Linked DNA regions of Drosophila melanogaster. The gene in region 2 interacts genetically with the main gene of each other region. Each region holds a gene or a part of one and is shown on either strand. Other genes may lie near its edges.

The links.
Region 1: of rib (region 2) and lolal, changing one enhances a phenotype caused by changing the other (phenotypic enhancement), as found in Drosophila melanogaster (one study listed by BioGRID).
Region 3: of rib (region 2) and lola, changing one enhances a phenotype caused by changing the other (phenotypic enhancement), as found in Drosophila melanogaster (one study listed by BioGRID).
Region 4: of rib (region 2) and Moe, changing one suppresses a phenotype caused by changing the other (phenotypic suppression), as found in Drosophila melanogaster (one study listed by BioGRID).

Annotation. Positions count from the first base shown.
Region 1 is NT_033778.4:18,153,592-18,159,893, reverse strand, and holds lolal (lola like), read left to right. Parts: upstream 1-1,875; 5' UTR 1,876-1,952; exon of another isoform or gene 1,953-2,134; intron 2,135-3,001; exon of another isoform or gene 3,002-3,147; intron 3,148-3,514; exon of another isoform or gene 3,515-3,728; 5' UTR 3,729-3,900; coding exon 3,901-4,002; intron 4,003-4,402; coding exon 4,403-4,489; intron 4,490-4,551; coding exon 4,552-4,746; 3' UTR 4,747-5,799; downstream 5,800-6,302. Other genes in the region: CG10914 (uncharacterized protein), read right to left, coding at 1-1,598; adp (adipose), read right to left, coding at 6,048-6,302. UniProt on the Drosophila melanogaster protein: Required, together with Trl, for maintaining the repressed state of target genes including homeotic genes Scr and Ubx. May also be involved in the activation of homeotic genes. Binds to a DNA Polycomb response element (PRE) at the bithorax complex.
Region 2 is NT_033778.4:19,268,181-19,273,115, reverse strand, and holds the start of rib (ribbon), read right to left. Parts: upstream 3,039-4,935; 5' UTR 2,330-3,038; intron 1-2,329.
Region 3 is NT_033778.4:10,540,280-10,545,307, forward strand, and holds the start of lola (longitudinals lacking), read right to left. Parts: upstream 3,013-5,028; 5' UTR 2,626-3,012; intron 1,717-2,625; exon of another isoform or gene 1,562-1,716; intron 1,495-1,561; exon of another isoform or gene 1,066-1,494; intron 1-1,065. UniProt on the Drosophila melanogaster protein: Putative transcription factor required for axon growth and guidance in the central and peripheral nervous systems. Repels CNS axons away from the midline by promoting the expression of the midline repellent sli and its receptor robo.
Region 4 is NC_004354.4:8,873,099-8,880,380, forward strand, and holds Moe (moesin), read right to left. Parts: upstream 5,628-7,282; 5' UTR 5,440-5,627; coding exon 5,371-5,439; intron 4,064-5,370; exon of another isoform or gene 3,958-4,063; coding exon of another isoform or gene 3,916-3,957; intron 3,655-3,915; coding exon 3,475-3,654; intron 3,340-3,474; coding exon 3,208-3,339; intron 2,962-3,207; coding exon 2,935-2,961; intron 2,924-2,934; exon of another isoform or gene 2,763-2,923; coding exon 1,996-2,762; intron 1,802-1,995; coding exon 1,405-1,801; intron 1,304-1,404; coding exon 1,091-1,303; intron 1,014-1,090; coding exon 849-1,013; 3' UTR 525-848; downstream 1-524. UniProt on the Drosophila melanogaster protein: Involved in connections of major cytoskeletal structures to the plasma membrane. Together with wgn, involved in control of axon targeting of R8 and R2-R5 photoreceptors, independent of egr.

The DNA.
Region 1 (6,302 bases), 1.1 Mb from region 2:
GGCCAGCGTCGCAGGCGGGCCTCCAAGTTCTCGCTAGCGAAGGGAACACCCAGAAAGGGCGAACCCACGTATCTTTTGTACACGCTTTCCGCCTCCTGTGTATCTGCTATCATGATGGGAAGATGCTCTGAGGCAAATACAAACACCTTCAGCCAGTCAAAGTGTTTCCTTGGGCTTGTTATTTCCAGCAGATCCAATCTGGCCAAACCGCCCAGTAGTATGCTCATCTGGGGCCGCAGCCGAAAGGCGCGCGGTCGGATCATGGTGGCGGGCTGCAGCTTTACCAGCTCCTCGGCGGTGAGCAGGGGAGATATTTGGTCGGGTTGCATCACACCCGGTGTGTCGTAGACCCAACGCGCTTCCTTGTACTCCTTGCCCCGATCGTTTAGCGTTGTAATCGGTCGCGAGCCACCGGCCATGGCAAAGGCATCATGGAGATTTTCGCGTCGATCGAAGGTGCGTCCAACCGGAGCCACTGGTTGAGCAGCTGCCGCTGAACCCGTTTCCCTTGCCACTGCGCGACGCTCCTTTTCCATTTCCGCCTTCTCGCTGCGCTCCGAAACCAATCTCTTAAAGCGCTGATAGACTCGATCGTTCGATGGACGCAAGATTGGAAACCGCAGCAGTTTGAGTGTGGTGCCCGGCCACGGACAGGTGGTGGCCTTGCGCACCAGGTCACTGGCCTCCGGCCGGCAGTAGTCCGAGTTAAGCAGAATGTTGAACAGCGAGCTCTTGCCCACATTGGTGCAGCCCACCAGATAGACATCGCCTTTGTAGGCCCACGTTTTGTGCAGCTGCGTTATTAGCTCCTCGATGCCATAGCCCGTTTTGGCGGATATCAAACTGACATTCTTGATATTTAGACCATTTCCACCGCCATGCTTGATGAACTCGCGCTGCAGAGAATCCTTAATATGCTGAAGATAGATGTTGGAGTCGCGCGGCAGCAGATCGACCTTGTTGCCCACCAGGAAGACGGGTCGCTTTGCGCCCAATATGTTTTGCATGCCCGGCCAAATGGAGCAGGGAAAATCGAGAAGGTCCACCAGAACAATAGCCAGTGCAAATTTGTCTTGAATGCGGGATATGGTGTCCACATAGGTCGATGGGGCCACCACCACATCCAATGCGATGTTGTAGTGGTTCAGAAAGTGACAACGCTTGCAGGTGATCGTTTGCAGTTCCTGCTGCGTCCTATCCCTGAATATTTCACTTGGTATATAGCCTGGCAGGGAGGCATTCGTGCAATGAAGGTCTGCGCCGCAGCCGTTGCATGGAACCTTTGAGGCGGGTAACGAAGGATCCGGTGTGCCCTGCTTATTCCCTCCCTCCTGGGCGCCCTGATAGAACTCGTAGTCGTCCATCCAGTCGTCGGGCAAATGCTGTTGTGTCTCAGGAATCGAGAAAGAGGGTTTTATTTTGGTCTCCAGAACAGAGCTGTAATGAACGTGCTCATGATCCTTGTACCGCTCTCTGGCGAGCAGCCACGCCCTCTGCCGAAAGCTCTGTCCCACTTCAGCGGCGGTATTCTGCCGCCTCGAACATGTGATAACCACATTTTTATTTATAATTTTATATAAACGTGTGGTTTTAAACATTTTGCAATGCCCACAAGAATTCTCACAGTGTCAGACTAAAGCCGTTTGCTACGAAACCATTTACATAGTCAGGGCTGCTAGCCGATAGATCTGAACGATTGTTATATTATTTGGCGTACAAAATAACAAGCATCAATTCAAGCAATGCTTTTTGTGTTATAAATCGAATAAAAGATATTTCAGTACATTAATTTGTGTTCATTAACTGGAAAAAAACAAAACGCATCGAAATTAGGCCGATTCATATCGAACAATCACGAGTGTATCGAAAATCGAAATCGGTGAAAGAGAAAAAAGAAAGCAGCGTTAGCGAGAAAGCAGAGGTGAGTTAAGTGCGGGACAAAAAAAAAGCGTGTATGTATTAAAATTGAAACAAAAAGATATAGAAAAAGCGTGTCCACGGCGCAATTAGCGTGCTCCTGCGGCGGTCGGCAGGCGATATACGCATTGGTAAAAGTACAGAGTACACGCCGAGTAAAAAGCAGCAGCGCACAACAAATAAAATGATTAGGAAAGTGTGTGGAAAAAAGACAAGTGTATGTGAACGGCGATTGTATGTGTGCGTGACGTGACTGTATGCGTGCTGCTGCTGCGTGTATATGAAATAAAAAGTAACGCGAAGCGCGACCTAATTTTAACCAAATATTACAATAATATTTGCATAAACAAAGGCGGCTCGGTTAATGTGACGCCAGGCATTTTGGTGGTTCCTGCGGCTTTCCACGAACGTTTGCCGACGCCATTGTCTGACCAAAAACAAAAGAAAAGAATTGAAATAGAATAAATCTCAGACGAGCACACTATTCCGTCGAGTGTAGAGTTCTTCCCGATTGAGTAATGCAATAACAACAAACGGAGCTGCTCAAATTGTTGAGAGTGTTGCAACTTTCGTTGGAACTCGTTTTGAACCGTTGTTGTTGTTGTTGTTGTTGATTTTGTCGCTCGCATCGCTCACTCACTTACTCACCGACTCACTCGCTCCTTTCCATTCTCCTGATGTTACCAAAACTGGTCTTCAAGAAGCAACAATGCAGTTTCTTGACGGGGAAGGGGAAAAATCAATAGTTCGGAAATTAGACAACTTTCAACATCCATGATTCAACGAAATGCACTCAGCCTAGAAGAAGCTACCGATAACCCCGGGCGCAAGAGCAAGCGAGATAGTTGCCGCCGCCTACCCACACTCGCACACAGCCACACACTTACACTTATGCAGCTGAATTTCCAGCGATGTCTGCTCTGCCTTTTAAGTTGTTGTTGTTGTAATGTAATTGCGAAATCATAACGGCAGTTGAAAGTTGAGAGCGCTTAGCGAAAGAGAACGAGGGACACAGAGAGCGTGAGACTAAAGTTTAAGCTCTGGCGGCAAACTATATGCCCTGCTCTCCCCCGCCCACGCAGAAACATACAGCCGGCTGCCAGTGTAGCGCATATGAGAGTCGCATCAACAACAACGCTATTTCCTCAAGAAGAAAAACACATGTTGGCCGCACAGTGGGATGGAGTGGGAGTGAAATTAAGACAAAGTCACTGAATGGAAGTGCGAATGGTGCCGCCATCTTGGTTCTTTTTTGGTCAAAAATCACGGAATGAATGCTATTTAACTGGAGTGCGCCTAAAAATACATTGCCATCGGCAGCTGCAGCGTGCATCGCGTGCAACAGACTAATTCCGCGTTCTAAGCCACTGTGCCGCATACGAATTCAAATAAGCAATAAGTACACATGTGTGTACGACTGAAAATGCAGAAATTGCCTTGAAAAGTGAAAGGCATTCAACAGAGCGAGCCAGCGACGATTTGATATTTTTGCCTCTTTGCTTAACCTTTGCTGGCAGCTGTTTGCTGTTTTTATTTAGCGCTGTCTCAGCACTTTGACATTTTCCAGCTCACTCACACATGTACAGAGTAACAACGCTGTGCATTCCGAACTCCCATTTCCCACTGCACAAACGCTGCACATGCGCCGCAGCACATTTATATTTGCAGAATACTTTTGGCCAAGAGACGTGCTGTTTTGCAATGCTCTCGTAACGTTCACTGCTAATTTCGCCAAGCTGTTGTTTGTTTGTCTTACTCTGCCTTGCCGTTACCGTTCGTTCACTAATGCTGTCTGTTTACTTCTCTTGCAGAGTGCGTCAAAGAAAACCCAAGCGAAAACCCACGGATTAAGCGGTCCGCTGCGAATTAAGACCATCTAACGGTGAACCTTTCGGTCACTAGTCCAAATTAAGCCTCCTGCCCACCCCCCTCCCAGCATTCTGTTCAGCGAGCGCGACGCCCCCACAAAACAAAAGCTTCTTCATGATGTCGTCGGATCAACAGTTCTTTCTAAAATGGAACGATTTTCAAACGAATATGGTGACCTCGTTCCGTCACCTGCGCGACGAGAAGAGCTTCACAGATGTGAGTAACCAAATGAAACTTTCCAGAAGCGGCGATGGAAAAACTATTGCAGTCGAACTATTAGTTAGAATGATGATATTAGATGTCAATATATTTTGAAGTTACTTATAAATTCAGTCAAAATCAAGCCATAGAAGTTCGACTGTAGTTAACCAGTCCCAGGGGCGCGCTGAGGTTTATTATGCTACTCTTGGCCCGATTGGCTCGCGGCCGCCCCTTGTGGAGGGTCAGTCACCGGCTGAGCTCAGTTGGTCTGAGTAGCAGATACCTGGCCCTCACGCTATTTTCAATTCGTTTTTCTTTTACCTGTGTTCGTTCTTCGCTCTGCGTTTTTGTTCAATTTGTTGCGGTGAAAATGCCTGGCGGATCTTACTGATTTCCCAATGCTTATTGTTCACAGGTAACACTCGCCTGCGAGGGCCAAACCTGCAAAGCCCACAAAATGGTGCTTTCCGCTTGCAGTCCCTACTTTAAAGCGCTACTGGAGGTGAGTTTTTCACGCGGTAATAACTAAGCAATCGTTTGATAATGTAATGTATGCACCCGCAGGAGAACCCATCGAAGCATCCGATCATTATCCTGAAAGATGTCTCCTACATTCACCTACAGGCTATACTGGAGTTCATGTACGCCGGTGAGGTGAACGTGTCCCAGGAACAATTGCCAGCATTTCTTAAGACCGCCGATCGCCTCAAAGTGAAAGGCCTCGCAGAGACACCCAGTTCGATAAAGCGGGAAGGTTGATGGTATTAAACAATAATCGAAACAAAAAATACATAATAAATAACAACAACCAACTATAAGAAACTTATATGTACGCAAGAAAACAAAATTCCAACCAGCGGCAAAAGAAACAACATTACGAGAACGACATTTGGTATACAAATTCATATAAGAGTGCACGAGGAGGATGAAGAACGCCAACAAATGACCACACAAAGCTAAAGCTGGACAGATTGAAATGATTAGCCTGTAAAGTAGAGGTGGAGGCCAAATCCGCCCGCCCACTCCCACACCCGCTCATTCACATCTGATCAACCAAATTGCAAAAAAAAAAAAAACAACACTTACCGACAACCCCACAGAACTCGATTTGAATTCTTTTTGTTTAATTTCTGCATAAAATAGTTTGTAATATATTATTAACAATACAAACCACTCTGTATAAATAAAACGATATGGACAGCAGCCCCTAAAGCAAAACAAAACATAACGAAACGAAACAAAACAAAAAACGCACTTTTGTAAAGTAATTAAAGAAGATCCATTTAAAATATATAAAGATAATTATAAATATAGTGTGAAATGTGCAAGTAGATGGAAAAAGCCACGACGGGCGCGAATATTACAACACATTCGGTTAGTTTTTAAGCCACTAACTACAACCCCAGACATGCCACGCCTCCAGACAGACAAACTCATTTTCATCTATATTTAAACAATAAAATAGAAACAAATGCAAAATTGTACTTCAATTAATTGTGTGTGGACAAGCGCGTTTTTCCCCAACTTCTGATCATACGCGAGATACATACATATATTGTATTAATAACAAAACGAAGAAAAGGTGTTTCAGTGCGAAGCTAGCAGTTCTACACAGTTTAAACAAAAGAGTAAGGAAATACGTTAGAATGAAAAATACAACTTGAGTAAAAACTATACTTGAATATTATTACATAAAGTAAAATATTTATATGTATGTATATGTATACATGTGAGCATAGATTTAAAGAAACTACGGTAAATAAACAGAATAATTAAAACAAAAAAAAAAAAAAAACAAATGCAAATCATCCTGAGCTTTTCATTAAATTACGATTCGAAAACCGGTCGATTTGCATGTCTGCATTTATTTTAATAGTCTTTCATAACATCCTTCATAAGCTTCGTACTTTGTATACAGAGTAATTCGTTTACAAATTAACAAAAATATGTTCGCTTAGCTTAAATTACACTAATATTTGATATATTGCCGATTGGATCTCGCTTGCTGTTGCACATGCATGCAGCCAATATAGATCAAGATGCACAATAAGCCACAGTTCCTAATTATTGAAACAGTACGCATTGCGCGTGTGCAGTTCGAATGGATCGAGGCGCATCTTCTCCTGGTTATCCTCAACGAAACGCGTCACATCCGCCACGAGATTGGGTCGCTCCTCGGCGCTGGCGGCGCACGGCGACCAGATCTTAATGTTATGGTCAATGCCACTGGTGGCCAGCATGCAGATGCTCGGATGCGGCTGCACGCAATTCACGATGGCACTGTCCGCCCGATAAACGGCGCGTATCTTGCCCGT
Region 2 (4,935 bases):
GCTCGAAGATTTTTATGGCGTTAGCGAAAGGGTTTCGTCTGAGATTTATGGGTTTATGGCTTTTCGCAAAAATGTGCCAAAATAGTTCGAAGGAAATGTGGACCAGCGTTTTACGATGCCTAACCCTTTGCTTCTTGGTCATTACCATTGAGCGACTATCGTGAAAAATATTTGCATGCGAAAAAAGGAAGAAGCGGATTTTCCAGGAAAAGCCTTGCTTTGGGTTTCAATCAATGTCTGGACTTGATAGCAGCATTTGTCATGCAAAGTAAAAAATGAATGCGAAAAAAAGAACACACACGCACAAACGCATCGAGGTTGCGTTTTTCCGGCTTTTCCCAGGCCAACCCTTTACCTTTAGCCCTCGTATCTTTTGCTTTTACCTGGGCATCTTTCGAACGAGATGCTTAGATTCTTGAGACTTTTTCAGTTGCTGAAGTGTCGCCTCTTAGAGCATCTTTGAAGTAGCAGCGGCACGTGAAAATTCTCTCCAACACAAATGGCAATTAGCGTGGCTCAAAGAAAAAAACAGGAGCCGCCGCCTACGATGGACAATGGGCAGCCTGCAGAGTTTGGTTCAGCGACAGGATCGGCAGGACCTGCCATAAAGATCGCCGCTCGCACTCGTGTGCTAATGGAGGCGAAAATTTTGAGATATCTCTCCCCTTTCCACCCAGTGTTTACACAAAACTCACGCGGCGGAAGGGCAAAAATACGAATACTATCTAGAAGATACACACTACACTCAGAGAAAAGTAGGGTTTTTAAAATATATCTTCGGAAAGTTGTATTTTTAATCGTAAGTTTATGTTTCAGCTTCCAGAAAAAGAGTTATTTCAAAATTTACATTTTTTCGAGTGTACTTTCCTGTGTGTGGGTAGAGCAACAGTCGAAAAACAAACAAAAACTGCAGCCCGGGGAAATTAATAAAAAAAAATGCAACAAGAAGACCACGAAAAAATTCAACGGAGAGAGGGAAAATTAGACAAATACGAAGCAGCGGAGAAACGAAAACGCTGGAAATTTATCGCGCGCGTCATTCGCTGCAACTAAGGAAAGTGGCACGTAGACCGCGACTTCGTAGAGCGATGGTGGTGTTGGTGGGTCCGCTGGCGGGGTTATGGTCGGGGGGAGGGTGGGGGGCGGACTACGAATGGGTCATTGCACTTTTGCAACGCACTCACAGATACGAGAGCATAGCATACAACACACAGATACAGATACATTTACAGGGCCGACAGATAGCAAAGCAAAAGGCAACATTTAAACGAGAATTGTGTAAAAAAGGCACGAAAAATTAGGCGAAAGCAAACAGAAAGAAGGCGAAACAGGAAAAGAGGGGAAGAGCGGCACAGGGGGAGCTGGGTGAAGAGCGGGAGAAGGCAAACAAGATACAGATACATCTGTGCATGTGTGCAAAGTGTGTGGGGGAAGTGGCGATGGGGGGCTACCAGTGCAACTGCAACTTTGCATGGGTCGGCCATTTTGTGATCGTTTTCGCTGGCGCAGATACAAAGATATAATCTTTACAGTGAGAGAAAAGTTTATTGACAAACCTTTTAGTGTAATTTACGAATTACATATATATTATATATATTAAATACCCCATAATTCTCTAAGAATATATGTTTTCTTTAGTTTTGCTTGTGAGAAAAGTCAAAATTGAGTTGTTGACACATAAAAACAGTGCGTAAATTAAATTTTTTCTGTGTGCTAAAGACTTTATTTCTATGGGGCGTATGGCGTCAGATATAAAACTGATGTTTGCAATGATCGTTTGTATGTAACTCAAATCGCGTTTCCCGGGCGACAGTCCCTTCACGTACATATGTACATATTTATTTATATGTATATGTAGATATGACAAAGTCGTTGCAGATCCGGCCGTAGATATGCATATGCATAGATATAGATACAAAAGTACATATGCTCTCCATGAAGCGCGCAGATACGAATGCGTTGGCTATAAATAGCGAGCCATGCCATTTGTGCCGCCAGCGCCACTCGAGTGTGGCGGTTGCAGTTGCAGTTTGCCGCTCAATGAACATGTGGAAATTCGGGAAATGGAAAGCCGACGACCACGCCCCCGTTAAGTACAGGCTAGCATTTTTCGAGCGGCGCATGGGGTGCATTTTCCACGATGTTTTCACCAAAAACACGCTCGCACACAAACGCACGCACAAATGCGTTATTTTATTTTTAGCAATTTGAGGGAAATTTCAAGTCGAGCGTTGTGAATTTTTGTTCGAATTTATACGGCCATGGTCACATGGCAAGGGAAGGTGGGGGCGAAACCGCCCTCCATAGAATACGTCTGTGTTGTACTTACCTTGTTTTTCCGCTGTTGTTTTATTCACTCCATGTACATATAGTATCTGCAAGATCCAGCGACGTTTTTCGGGGTTTGTTGAGTGCGTAGAACACGTTTTACAAATGTATCTGCTGGCTGATCAGAACGCCGATTCTAACCATAATTCGATTCACATTTTCGCACATAGTCTGGCCACGTTTTCACTGGTCCTAAGTCAGCCAACATTTTAACCGGCATTATTGTGTGTTTGCTTCGATTTTCACTATATTTCACTGCAGTTTTCTTTGGTTTTTTTTTTGGCTTGGATCGAAGTGAACTCTTTGCCTTCGAATGGCAAAATGACGCAAAGTTACTAAACAACGAAAAAAATAGTATGAAAAAAGGGCAATACAACTGATTCTCGGAAGTGTTTCAGTATTCACAAGCATTCGGATGGGCACATATAACCGTGTATCTGTGTATCTGTTAGTTCGTGTATCTCGAAGGGCGGGGCAGGGTTGGCAGCGGCGATTTACATGTGTCGCTCTGCTGTAAGTTCTGGACAGACCGCCAAACTTCTGCGGCGGTACGAGCACTGACCTTGAGTTCAGGCGTTTACCAAAGGGACTGCGAGTGGAACTGGGCTTCTCGGTTTCTCTGTTTCTGAGTGGGGACTGTATAGCCGACTGAATCTGTTTTTTAATTCTTTCGCCGATTCTCGACTGCAGAGAGAGAGCTCCGCAAAAATGGCGTGTGTGTAGAAAAAAAGCTTCGACTGTACATAATATACTAGTACATAATGCCACTGACTCACAAATTGAGCAAAAAAGCAAAGTTCCCAAACTAGCGAAAAAAAAATAAATATAAATTTGGGCCTCTGGAGGGGGGAAAGCTCTTTCGTCGAGCATAGAATTATCATCGGCCCTTGGGCCCACGTAAGAATTTTGCAAATATATCAACACAGTCATGAGTCGAAAACAACAATCGACAAATAAAAAAATAACCCGCCAGTTGGCCGCTTGTTTATCTGTGAAGCGCTTTTCAGGGTCACTCTTGATTATTACACAATTTTTGTTTACAGCAAAATGCGGCGCAAATTTTTGTAATCTATATTGGTATGTGTGTGTGTGTGCGTGCGTGTATGGTTTTGGTTCTCGAGTTGAGTTTGTTGTTTACCACGAAAACAAATTCGGTGGGCCAGGGTCAAAAAGCGGCTACGTGAAAATGCGGAAGGACGGATCGCTCAATGACAATTACAGTGAAAAGCCTTGCTAACCAATGAGCGCAGAATTGTTGTTCTATTTAAAGTGTAGAACCATTTAGTAAATGCAAAAAAAAAGATATTATGAAGTCAGAATCTTAAAAATGAGCTATCTATCTATCTATTTCTATCTCTCAGATAGATAAGTGGTGGAAGTATCTGATGGATTTAAAGGTAAAGGAAGCCCTTTAAATATTTTACCCCAGACGTGAAAGCAACAAGTTGCGTCAACAGAACCACAGCCCAAACCCAAATCCCACTCACATAGATACGTTTACACACACACTTTGGTGCGAAAGCACGCCAGAATTGAGTAACAATAACAACATTCCCGCCGTCCCTAAACTTGAACTTGAATTTCGCAGCGAAAACAAAAATTCAAGAGCAAAATGCCGGCAAAAAACAACAAAAAGCGTAAAAAAACAACGCAAAAACTAGTTGCAAACAATAACAATTTCGCGTAAACAGTCAGATGCTCTCGCTCCCTCGCTCTTTGGAACCGATGGTGACCGAAGTGGAGCCGAGGGTCTTCGGTTGCCGCTCGGCAAATTGTGCAAGCTTTCGATTCGCTTTTGCGACTCGCGAATTCCCCCGAAATTCGCAAGCCGACCAATCAGAGAGCATTTTTGCACACAACAAAAAGAGCAAAACGAAAGCTTTTCGCCAAGTGTGTGTGCGCTGCTTTGTCGCAAGTATAGGTGAGCGGGCTTTTGCTTATTTTTGGCACATCGCGTATCGCCATTTTTGCGCAAAAAGTCAAAAGCTGTCTTGACGTCGTGTTTTGTCGCTTTGAGGTGATTTAAAGAATCGCCAGACACGTGGTTCTTAGTTGGGGAATAGAACACGAATGCGCGGAGCTTACTGGGCGAAAGAATCTAACCGGGAGAATTCACCAGCCACGCAGAAGAGCTTTCTGGAAAGATCGGGAGCTATAAGACTTGTTGTGGTCTTGGTAATGACGTTTAAGATCTGGAAACATTACATATAGCATTTAGTTTTTCGATAACTTCTTAAAACTTACCTTTATTTAAAGAGTGGTTATACGATTTCGTATAAAGCTAATCGATCCATTATTGCCAACTTTTTAAAATATATAACTGCTTACATGTTTCTTTTTCTGGTATATGAATTACTGATAATTTCCTGTTTTTATTCAATATTAAGTGCGTGATAAGATCACTAAACCATTGTTACCATAACCTTGAATAAATTTAACATAGTTTACGAAAGTCTAGTGCGATTAGTATTATAACATTCTGCAAGAGAAAGCTTTTATAAATTGTTTATTCATTAAGCTTTGCACAATAATAGAGCAGAAGAGATTTCTTTCTGTTACTAAAATTTTGGCAATAAACAAATTCCGATGAATTTGCTTCTCTTATGT
Region 3 (5,028 bases), 8.7 Mb from region 2:
AAAAGCTTTTTTATATCTCATTTATTATTGTTATTATTCTGCACATGTGCGTAGAATGTAAACAAATGAAACTTTTGCAAAAGTCACAAGTGAAATTTAGCAACGTCGCGCAGTCCCATAAAAAAGATTAGGCGACACGAAAATATGAAAAATGGAAATGTGTAAACGTGTCGAAAAGAAAACAACAAAAGCGGCGTAGCAGAAGTGTAGCACAAAGTGGAAACAAAAATATGTGGCGACTGTTCTCTCTCTCCCTTCCTCATCATCCTCCTTGCCTCATGCTGAGCCGTCTGGTTCTCCCACTTTTCTAAGTGTGTGTGAAAAGTGCAGAGAGAAAATTTCACGCTTGTTGTTTTTGTTTTTCGTGAACAAACATAAAAACTGACGAGGGAGTATGACAAAATGAGCGGGAGAGAAAGAAAAGGGGAGCCAAAAGAGCGAGAGAGCCTAGCATTGAACAAAATATTTTATGTGTGGGGGAAAAACCAAGATGGCGGCCACCAAGACTTTGGGAATCTATCGAAATGAAAAACGTGCTTTTTTGTAGGAGTTTATAATAGAAAGCAATTAATTGAACTCGCTCTTGGCAATCTTCGTGTTTACTAATCATAGTTTTTTTTATCAAGCTTTCCCTCGTCGCAATCGGTAATGAAAAGCTTATATAACTTTCCTACTCGCGCACACATACACGTGTACTTGTAGAAAACATTTCCCACTGCAACACTTGACCTCATTTGCATGGAAAGTGAGCCACTGGCAGTGTGTGCGTGTGTGAAAATTAATGAAAACCGCCCGTCATTTACTTCAGCGTTGCATTTTGTGGGAAAGCTCTCCCTCTCCTGCTCTGTCTGTGCCTGTCTCTTTTCGTACATTGGTGAAAAGCTTTCTCCCGTGAAGTGAGCATAGGGAAAAATCGATAGAAACACCACTGGAAGTATCGATTCGATATGCAAAAACACACACAATCTCAGGCAGATAATTGCCAGGTACAGTTCAAATGCAAGTTCTTATTGTATATTATTAAGCGGTACTTTAAAACATTATTGATCAATTTTATATACACACCGAAATAGAATCACAGGCAGCACGTAGTCGTCAATAAACTTTGCACATATCAAATTTTGGTGTTGCTTTTCCAATCCATATATGTATATATATAGTAAAATATATATAATACTAATACACACACACACGATAACGCGACGGGGGGAAAAGCAATAAAGTTGAATTTATTTTTACTGTATGTGATGGGGCCCTGTATGCATGTGTATGTATTTTCCTTTCCCGCTGCCGTGGAGAGCAGAAAGAAAAGAGTAGGCAGCAGCAACAACGCACCACACACTGAAAATTGCGGACGCGCGAAGCCACTGAAGAAAAACTGACGACTGACGCGACTTTCCGCTGGTGCTCGAAAAAACGAAAGGTTCCCATAAGCAGAGACCCCGAAGAGCGCCGAGAGAGTTGGAAACGAAGCCGAAGCGAAACCCGAAGAGTGTGAGTGCGAATGAGAGTGTGAGTTCGAAAAATAAGTTGACGTCGCCTGTTTGCCACCCCTCTTCAGACGTGTGCTTTTTGTATGCTTGGCGCACAGAGTTGCCAATTCACGACAAAAGATCGACAAATTAGGATGATGCAGAAGGAGGACACGCTTTTCATTATCTGGTTGCCACCTAATTTAAGTTCCACATCAAGGAAGAAGGAAATACGTTTCCAACGGACGTCAAATTTACTAACTACACTACTTGAAAAGCCTGTCTATAAAAACACGATAACGTTTTTGCTAATCTCAAGACAATGTTAAATATAATTGGAGAAAGTATTGAATATGAATATCACAAAAATTGTTTAGGGTCTCTACGTGGTAAATAGTATTTGGCATAGACAGTGAGATGTGAGTCGTACGTACTAATTAATAAAGTTGTTCAATAGAACCTCATATACTGTAAGTGACAACGAACGAGGCTGACAACTCTGCTTGCACATATTTGGCGGAGTTCGAAAATATCATTCGCATTGGTATTGTTTTTGTTTTCCACCATGGGGCGAGATTTTGTTGTTGCTTTAGCTTTGCTTGTTTTTTTCGCAGCAAAGCGAAGCCATAATGTTCGAAATGGTAAAATTACCGTTGCCGAGCAAGCTCTCTCTCTCCCCCACTCCGACACCTCTCTCCATCTCTCGTTGCAGTTGTTTAAGGGTGTGCGAGGGAGATGAAAGATGGTCTCGGCTTGTGTGTGCAATGCATTTCCCACTAAAAAGCGCAAATTATATTTTGTGCACTCTCCAAACGTTTTTATGATCGGCGTTGATTTATTTTTGGCTTCCAGCATGACTTCATCGCCGCGCGTTTTCTCTCTAATTTCGGTGTACAAATTATGTGTACCTAAATATGTACCTTAATTTTTAACGGTTTCATCGGGTTTTCAGCTGGAAAATTAACATTTCTGTGCGAAATTCTACACGCATGCCAAATGTTCTAACCAATACTAATTGATGCGAGGAGTGTCGTTTCTGTGGCAAAATCATAAATTCTACAGATCTTTTCGACGGCTACAGTGTGCATATGAAAGGTGAACGTATAGAGATGATGGTCCCCGCATAACATCACGTCGATTGACAATCGCTCACCTGAATTTCCATTGGAGTTTTCATGGCAACTCGGTCACGTTCCCTCTTTCTCACTCCCTCTCTCTCTTTCCCACACGTTGCACAGGAGAGGGGGCGCAAACACTCACAAACACCTATAAATTATTATATATTTCGTCTTTTTGCATTTGCAGTTGAACTTTAATTACAACAAATTATGCACTCGACACAAAAACGTATTTAACATCACATAGTTTTTTCCGTGGGTGTTTTTCCAATCGGTGCTCCGCTTGAATTTATGCAATCCGCACTGTTTTTTAGACTACTAACAATTTATCCTGATTTTTTATGTGGGTGGAAAAGCAACGAGAATTTAACGAGCGGAGCGACGACGATTTTATTCCTGAGAGTTGCCGTTTGTTACTGAAAAATCGCTGCAAAAAAGTTCGAATAAAAGTCGAAAAAAGAAATAGGCTTTGCGTGTGTGTGTGAGCACGAAGTTTTTGCTTTTGTTGTTCTTTCTGCTGCATTCGAAAAACCGAAGATCGTTCGTGCGCTAGAACAAGTGAGTGCGAGCGAGATGGGGACACTCCACGATACAGTTGATTGCTTTTTGCAACTGTCTCGTTGGAAAAAAGCGTTTTGCGCGGGAATTGAGGGGAAGAAAAGAAAGAAGAAGAAGGGGTTGTGGCAAAAGGAAGTCGCGCTAAATGAAAAGGCAAAGAAAATGTGTTTTTTTTTTGCTTAGCACATAAGGAAATATGGCACATGGAGTTCTATGTAAAAAGCTATGTATTTAGATCGTCAAATAAAACGTGGAATTTGTGGGAAACACTTTTATAATACTTTTTGTATGTATAAGAGTTATAATAAGCATAATGAGAGCATGGCATAATACGAGATTTAAGCCACATGATGTACTATGTACATATGTACATAGAAATGTGTGTATGTACATACATAACATAATTTTTAACGAATTCTTATAAACCAAGTGGAAATGTTTCTAAAAAATTATGAAATGTCAAGGTCATACATAATTTACAATGTAGGTTCTACAATTTTTAGAGATTACAAAGCAGTGAGGAACATACTTATGTACATACATTTATGTAATATTTACATAAGTACATAAATATTTATGTGATTATAAATTTATATACATATACATATATGAAAGAATATATACATTCATATATACACAGTTTTTTTTAAGAAGCTTACACGGCAACTGAAATGATCTCACCATGCAGATGCAGAACTTAAAATTTGTAAATGTACATAAAAAGCTAATTTAGGTAATTTTACTACAAATAAAATAAATGCTATTAGCGCTGAAGAAGATAATTCACCAGACACCTGTCATTATTTTTTGCGAGGCAATTAAAATTCCCGACTGGGGAAGTAGAAAGGTGTCAAGAAAAGATTAAACTTTCAATTTATGGATCCACTCTTTTTTTTTGCATTTTGCCATTTTGCATATCTGTTTGTTTTGCCAATTGCTACTTTCTAATAAAATCGTCAATGTTCACGGCACACATTCGTATAAATCTTTGGTCGTTTTTTACCACCGCCTTGCATTAGCAATTGCCAAAACTTGATTTTGATGCTTAAATATAACTGATTACTTGATTTGAGCAAATATATGTACACATGCATGTACATATAAAAAAGTCAGCACAAGATCATAATTACACGAAAAACAAGAACAACAATAATGCTGTTACACGGTGAGAAATACATATGTGTTATGATTAACTAAAGTCAGTAAGCATATTTTTACTGGAATGTAGAATTTAAATTCATTTATGAAACTACATTTTTGCTAATATGCATATAATTTCTAACTGATTTCTAACTCAATTGGCACATTACAATGCCTTGAGAGCAAACGTAAGATTTGGAAAAGTGTTTTGACCGATCTATTACTAATATTTTCTTGCAGTGTAGCGCTGTCGGCGTCGACGCCCGCGCAGCAGCTTAAAAAAGCTGCGCTCAAAGAAATTAACAATAAAAGTTGGAAATTTTGTTCAACGCTTTTTGTTTATTTTTTAATGTTTTTGTGTTGTTGTTGTTGGCTCTTGAATGACGAAGAAAATATTCGCCGAGGGAAAGAAGAAGCAGAGGAACCAGAGTTCCAAAACTCGTTTGGCATTCGAAATTCCAGTGTTTGTGTGTGTGTGCGTGTGCCTTGTATTTTTGGCAACACTTCTACTCCGCTGTTGCTTTTGTTGTTGTTGTTATGCCGCCTGGCAAAGTGAAAATTTATGCCGCACCCCGCTCAAAAAAGTAAAACACGAACAAAAAAAGCACAAGAAACTGGAGTCCGTGATTTCACACAACACAACACACCGAAATTCCAATCCATTTCAAAGCCGCCAGCAAATAAACAAAAGTCAATATGTAATTGAAATTTTTTCCGCCGTTGCTTTTGCTCAACAATTT
Region 4 (7,282 bases), on a different chromosome or scaffold from region 2:
TTAAGAATCTTTCTTTTCTTGCAAAACAAAAATAGATTAAAGAAAAATATTTTATATAATATATTTTTTCTCTTTTTGTTTGTTGCTCTCTCTCAAGTTAATTTAAGAAACAATTAATCAAGTTCTTATTTAATTATACAAATTTAAAAAAAATAGTAATTATATAATAATAAAAATAATAATTATAACGGGGGAAAATGCAAATAGTTGTTTGTTTTGTTGTAGTAGCTGTTCTTGTTGTTGTTGATGTTGTTGTTGTTTATTGTTGCTGATGTTCCTTTTCAATATCTATTACTATTCGTTCCGTTTTCTCAATGAATCCATTGGGAAAAGGAGAAATGTATATTTTCTATTGCTTCTGCTTGGATTTAGACATATTTTCCGATAGCTTGATCCTCATTCATTTGCTGATTGTCCATATAGATGCGGTCCTTCCTAACCGTCTTCTCATTCTATTCATATTGATGAGTGCTGTGTCCGGCTAAATTAGTTTCCATTAATTTATTTTTTCTTTTTTTCTTTTTGCTTATTCTTGATTCTTCTATACAAAAGCTGCGAGACAAAACGACGGTCAAACAAAGTATATTTCATTTCAATTCACTTTAGGAGGCAGGAAGTGTTCTTATGGGTGGAAAAGGGTCGTCGCTGGTGGGATAGTTAGCAATAGGCTTTTGCCAGCGACCGGAATTATATTTGTTGCTTATTCTTCATCATCATCTTCATCATTATCAATCATCATTATTATTATCTGCTCTTGCTGTAGTTATATCTTTTTCTTTTTCTTTCTGGAGTCTCACCGCTCCCTCTCTCTTTCCCGCGCACTATCGATCTCTGATCTTTGATAGCTTTTACATGTTCTCAAACTGATCGACGCGACGCTTTGTGTTGCCCTTACGAATCTCGCGGAGCGTCTTGTACTTGTCACGTCCCTGGCGAACGTTCTCGCGATGAATCTTATCGTTTGCCGTCTCTTTCGTCTCGTCGCGAGACTGCGCCAAATCTTGTTTCAGAGCCTAGATATAGATATATATATATATCAAATTGATATTGTTAGTTGAGTGGAGCATAAGGGACTCGATTTCGAACCCACCTTGAGCTGATCGTGCAAGCGTTCGTTGCGCTCGGCCAGCGTGCGTCTGTCCTCGATGGGGTCCTTGATATGCTCGTCGGTGTCCAGGTCGCGCGACACATCGCCACCGGCATCGCCGTTCGTCAGCTCCTCCTCGTTCTCGTTCTCATCCTCGGCCACGTGGTGATGCTGCGGCGTTGTCGACGCGGCCAGCAGAGCGGCAGCGGCTTCAGCCTACAAAAACGACAATGTTCAGTATAAAGTTGAACACAAAATGGTATCAAGACTATATTCATTGGTTTTTTCGATGCCAACAAATAGTGAAAAAAGTGTACCGCAATGACCTGCTTGCGTCGGGCGTCTTCCACTTCGTCCTGCAGACGCTTTGTCTCCTCATCCTTGGCGTTGACCTCGTCCTGAATGCGCTGCACCTCCATCTGCTTGGCCATGATCTCCTCCTCGAGCTTGAGCTTCTCGACGGCCTCCATATTCTTGGCCTCCTCGAGGCGCTGCAGCATCGCCTGCAGCTCCTTCTGGCGCAGCTCCAGCTCATCCTTGGCGGCCTGCAGCTGCTTCAGCTGCTCCTCCAGCCGGCGGATCATGTCCTGCGCCTCAAGCAGATCGCGCTGCGAACGCTCCATGTCCTCCTGCATCTGCTTTAGCCGATCCTCGTACTCCTGCTGCTTCTTTTCAGCGCGTTCGCGTGCGGCCAGCGCCAGCTGCAGCTTCTCACTGCAAAAACGAAAGAACACCGAAAATAAGAAGGGAATCATCTGCTTGCAGATTATAGCCTGTGCATGAATCAGACTCTCATGGAAATGATATGCTCGAATCATTATGTTTCGGGTCATTGAAACGTTGTATTTCGTTGAAATTCCCAAAGTTTTGATTCATTCAAACAGACATGACTTGAAATCCGTACTAACCGTTCCTGCTGTTTGGCATTCTTCTCCTCGCGCGCCTGCGCCTTCATCTGCTGCACATCGATGGTGTCCGGCTTGCGGCGACGCATGTACAGCTCGTGGTTGCCCATGCAGAGGGCCAGAATGCGCTTGTTGATGCGGACACGTGGCGCAAAGAACATAAAGTCCGGAGCCTTCTTGTCGATCGGCTTGATGATGAACTTCTTCTCCGAGAACGAAATGTTGCGAATCTCGGACCATGGGAAACCAATTTTCGGCGTCAACCTATCGTCCTGCTCGTAAATGTTCAGACCCAGTGCGTCTACGCCCAGCCAAAGATCCGTGCCCTTCTTGTTGCGGATCTCAAAGTAGTTAACGCCGTACATCTCCAGGTCTTGGGCGATCTTCAGATACTCCATCATGGCATCCTCGCGCAGCATGCTGCGATGCTCCTGCCACCAGGTCATAATCGACTGCTCCCACTCGTCCTTGGACATCTTGTGCTGGTCGATGACGCGCTGCGGCAGCAGGCGATCGTTGGCCAGAAAGCCGGCTGTGTGGGTGGTCTTATTGTGGTCACCATGACGCGCCTGGACGGCGTACGAGGCGAGCAGCACGGATGTCTCTGGCGGACAATAGATCTCGTCGGTCAGTATGGCATTCTTCACCTGCAGGTAGAACAGACGCAGTGTAATGTCCTGGATCAGCTCCTCGGCCACATCCTCGGGATAGAATTTGGCACGGAACCTAAACTGCAAGGGATTCTCCTTCTTCACGTCCTGGTTCATCACCTGTGAAAAGCGAAAACATATCACTATTAGATGCGAATGCACGCTAAAGTTTACAAACTGCAAATGGATTTGTATACGAAAAAAAAAAAAACGTTTGGTTTTCCCGATTCAATAATGAAATAATAAACATAATATCATAGATAAAAAAGTGCATGCGGCGTCTGAGTGTTACCCATGTCGAAAACGGCATTGATCCAGTCTGTTTGTTGTTGTGGTGCAGCATTAAATCATATACAGAGATTGCATTTGTATTAGTAAATCAAGTCTCTAACAATCGCTAATTAACTTAAGCTAAGCATTCGAAGGCGAGGCGATACAATACAATTATAGAATTGGCATTTTACAGGATAATTCGGTTTATGTTCTAGCTGGGACTTTTTGTGGATGTACTTTGCTGGATTGGCATATATATATATATATAAATATATTCTCGATCTCTGCCCACCATATCATCGGCGTCGTCATCCTCTTCGCTCGTCTCTAAATGATTTACTCCATTGCTGTCGGCTGTCTTTTTGTCCACATACTTCTTTACACGCTTTAAATATTTTATTGTCTTTATGGCCGGCGATTCGGGCTATATTATGTATGTACCATACATTACATTTATAAATATTATGATGTACATGCAATCTTAGTAAATAATTTAAATTTATATTCTTTTGAACTATAAACTTCAAACTTTATTTGTATGAAATTTATAGTCGCCTACCTTTTTGTACAGCTTGATCCATGTGGAGTCGCCCTTGGAGTCGGTGTACTGGAGTCCAAAGAACCAAACCTCTCGCAGGCCGATCGTCTTCACCACCTGGTCAAACAATTGCTTGCCCGTCGTCGTCGACTGAATGGCGAACTCCAGTTCCGCGTCCATTGTCGTGACGCGCACATTTAGCTGAAATTAGTAAGGGATGTCGTGATATTAAAAAAATATCGTATTAAATGATTAAAATAACGCAAAAATATATATATATATATATATATAAAAGAACAAAGCATTGCCTTTAGAAGGCAAACTAAAAACGAATGAATCAAACAGAATGTTTTATTAATTAAATGTAACTTATTTGTTTCTTTTGCTGCATTTCTTAAGTTAAAAGTGCCATCATCCATGACATGAAAAGCTAACTAGATCAAACTAACTGGGCATGCTCACAAGCCAAATAGAAAAAAAAAAGAGTAAAAAATTGACACCCATCGATGAAGGTGGCGTGCAGAGGAGAATCCCCCACGATTTGTTTAGGGGTCGATGGATTAACGGGATGTGAGCAGGGCACGTGCCAAGAGCTCCCGTTTCGCTTTGGAGGATTGGATTCGATTGCCACGACTTGCATAAGTCGGGCTTTCGACTTAAACGCGCGCACACACACGTTTCAAATGGGTGAAAAATGCTTGAAAAAATGGGGGGAAATGGGGGAAAATGGAGGGCAAAATGGAAAGAGGGAAAATGAAAGCGGGCCGCAGTGAAAAATCACGCTTGGAAAACAGCAAAGCAAAAATCAATCAGGCATGACAATAGCAACAAGCTGGAAATGACCAGGCAGCTCTAGATAGTGGAAATAAGTGGGGGGAAAACACAGGGTGTGGGGTGTGCGTGTGTGTGTGTGTGTGTGTGTATGGGAATATAGACCGGATGGCCAGCGAGTGGTAATCGGTGGTTATACAAGAGAGAGATAGAAAGAGAGAGCTCAGCCGCTATCTATCCCACTGCGCGTGCCACTTGACCAACTTGCAATGTGAAATGGCGGAAAAGCTAGGGAAATTCCACCCACATCGCCACCCAACGTCGGACACACAGCACATGCACATGTCAACCTGTACTAACTACACTACATACCATTGCGCAATCGCCACATTTGGATCAAAGTAAATGCGATCGTAGATCAAAATTGGGGTTAATATGCAGCGCAGACAATAGAGTATATATAACTAACAATTCAGTTCGCTTTTTACAACATGGCCAACAAATGTAAGTCTTACATTAAAAACCATTCGTTTAAAATATTCCTTTACTTTATTGAAATATACAAAGGAATTTTGCTAAATACCTAAATCAGCTACAAATTTTTTTAAACTATTTTATTTCCTATCTGTTAAGATTGATTGAACCAATTTCAGTTTTAAAGGCCCTTTGAAAATCCGCTGGTTTTTGTTACCATTTTCTGGGCATGGGAAAAAACAATGTGTGGTAGACCCAACAAATTAAAATTTTTTAACTTCATCATTTTGTTTGGCTCGGTTTTGCTTTTCAGTCCGAGGGCTCATTGTTTTGTTTTCGCTTTCGGCTGCTGAATGCAAATCAAACGTGACACAATGTTAGGAAATTGAAAACGTTTTTCATTTCAATCCAATTAACGTTTTTGGGTTAATGCAACCACCGTGGTTTCTGCTTTGTTTTTTTCTCCCCCTGGCCGCTGAGAATGAAAAACACAACAGCTATTTGCAACGGAAGTTGGAGCATAATAACCAGTTTTTAAAAAAGAAAAAAAAATGGTTTTTGACTTGAAACCACAAAAGTGCAGCACATGAAAAAAAAAAAAAAGAAAAGGGGGATGCGCTTTTCCAGCTTAGCAGGAAAAACGTGGAAAATAGTGAGCAGTGTGGTCCGTACCGTTTTCCGTTTGACGCTGACTCCGCCGTAACGCGGCAAACGGACGCGGCTGTCGGAGACGACGACCATTTTGGGCACCGAAAACGGATTGCGCAGTAGCTTTTGAATTATTACGCCTTTTCAATGCAAATCTCCGTCTGGGAAATATATATATATTCTTGAGCAGCCACAAGCTACGCGGGAAAACCAACCGACCAACGCGACACGATGGTTAAAAGCGGAAAAGCGACGATTCGATTCTGTTGTCCAGCGGCAACTGAGGAAAATGGAAAAGTCACGGCACGTTTTTAAGTCGCCAAATGGGGAAGACAAGCGCAAAAGGCAAAAGGAAAATAAATGCTAGAAGAGAAGAAAAACAAAAAACAACACTGGGAAAGCGGCGGCGGCGGCAGAACGCAAAAGAAACGCTAAGGGAACACACAACACAACACAAAATGAACTTAATTTCTGCCCAAGAAAATGGGAAAATTTTTATCCCAGTCATTCGTTGTCAAGTTAATATAAATTGCATGTTAATTATGCATCTAAAAGTGGACAGCCGCAACCATAAAGAAAAGAACTGCTGACCATAGAGGTCAAATGGGTTTTCCAGAACGAGAGAAGTATGTGAATGCAATGGGGGTCAAGTAAATAGTGCAATATGGTAAAATATATTTAAAAAATATATATATAAATCAAAACACAACCAATTCTCTAAATGAATTATTGATTGAATTAGCTGTATAGTTAGCTAATTTTTAGTTTGAACACTAGTCATTTGGCCAGCGCTGTGCGCCGAAGAGCACGAGAGAGCGCCGTAGAAACGCAGCCCCAAGGTAGGCAAACAAATCAGCGTCAATCATACGACGCGTTGGCTGTCAATTCTGTTTTATTGATGCCGCTTTTGGGCCTCAAATAGCAATTAAACCCCTCCCCCCTCCCCACTCCGCACTCACATATCAAGCTATTCAAACAGACCAATAAACATCTAGTTATGGATGAGAAAAACTATAGCGAAAAAGGGAAAGTTATGGAGAAACCATTCAAGCACGATGTGCATCGACTACTGCATTGGAACAGAGAAATTTCCCTAAAAGGCAAACGACTTCTTAAAGCTTTGTGCAAAAATCACCTTTCAATCATCCAAATTGTATTATAAAATCACTTCAAATCACGTGTTTGATTGTCATGATGAACTCATAACAAATACATCATTCATTAACAATCAAGTTGAGGCAAAAATGTCATTAGACCATCGCTGGGTGAGATAAGAACTTTTCCGGTTGCCAAAAAAAAAAAAAAAGAAATCACAACATGTCAAAAAGAAATTGGCAAATGCTTTGGTATGAAATAATGATCTACTCATGTGTTCATATCAATGACGTCGTCTTCTAATCCAATTTTTCGCCGTCTGCGTATCTGATGAAATGATGAAATTTTTTTTGGCAAATGTCCAAGAATCAAATACAATTACCAACGTCAACAGTTGGGCCAATATGACGTCTTCGCCTGGCCATCCCCATTCCCCCCCAGAAGAAGTTCTATTAAAAGATGCGATGCGATCCCAACACTCCACAATTGACGACAATTGTAGCTGAAGTGCTCTCTTGATAAGAACACAATTTCCGATAGCTGATAGCTGACAAACTTTTCGTTGTGATTTAATATAACTAATCTTTAATAATTTACTAGGCGCTAGTGCAAAACATTTGTTTTATCAGATTCGTTTGTGGTTTCATTCCAGTGATATATGGTTACCATTATAATGGAATATTTCGAACTTATTATAATACTGTCTAATCAGTACTAATTATTTATTATTTTATAGTTATTGGTTAACTTACCGCTTTTGGAGACATTTTGTTGTTTCGTGTCTTGTCGTACTTATCGAAACGAAATGTTTTCTTTCCAGGATATTATCGTCTGAACTCTT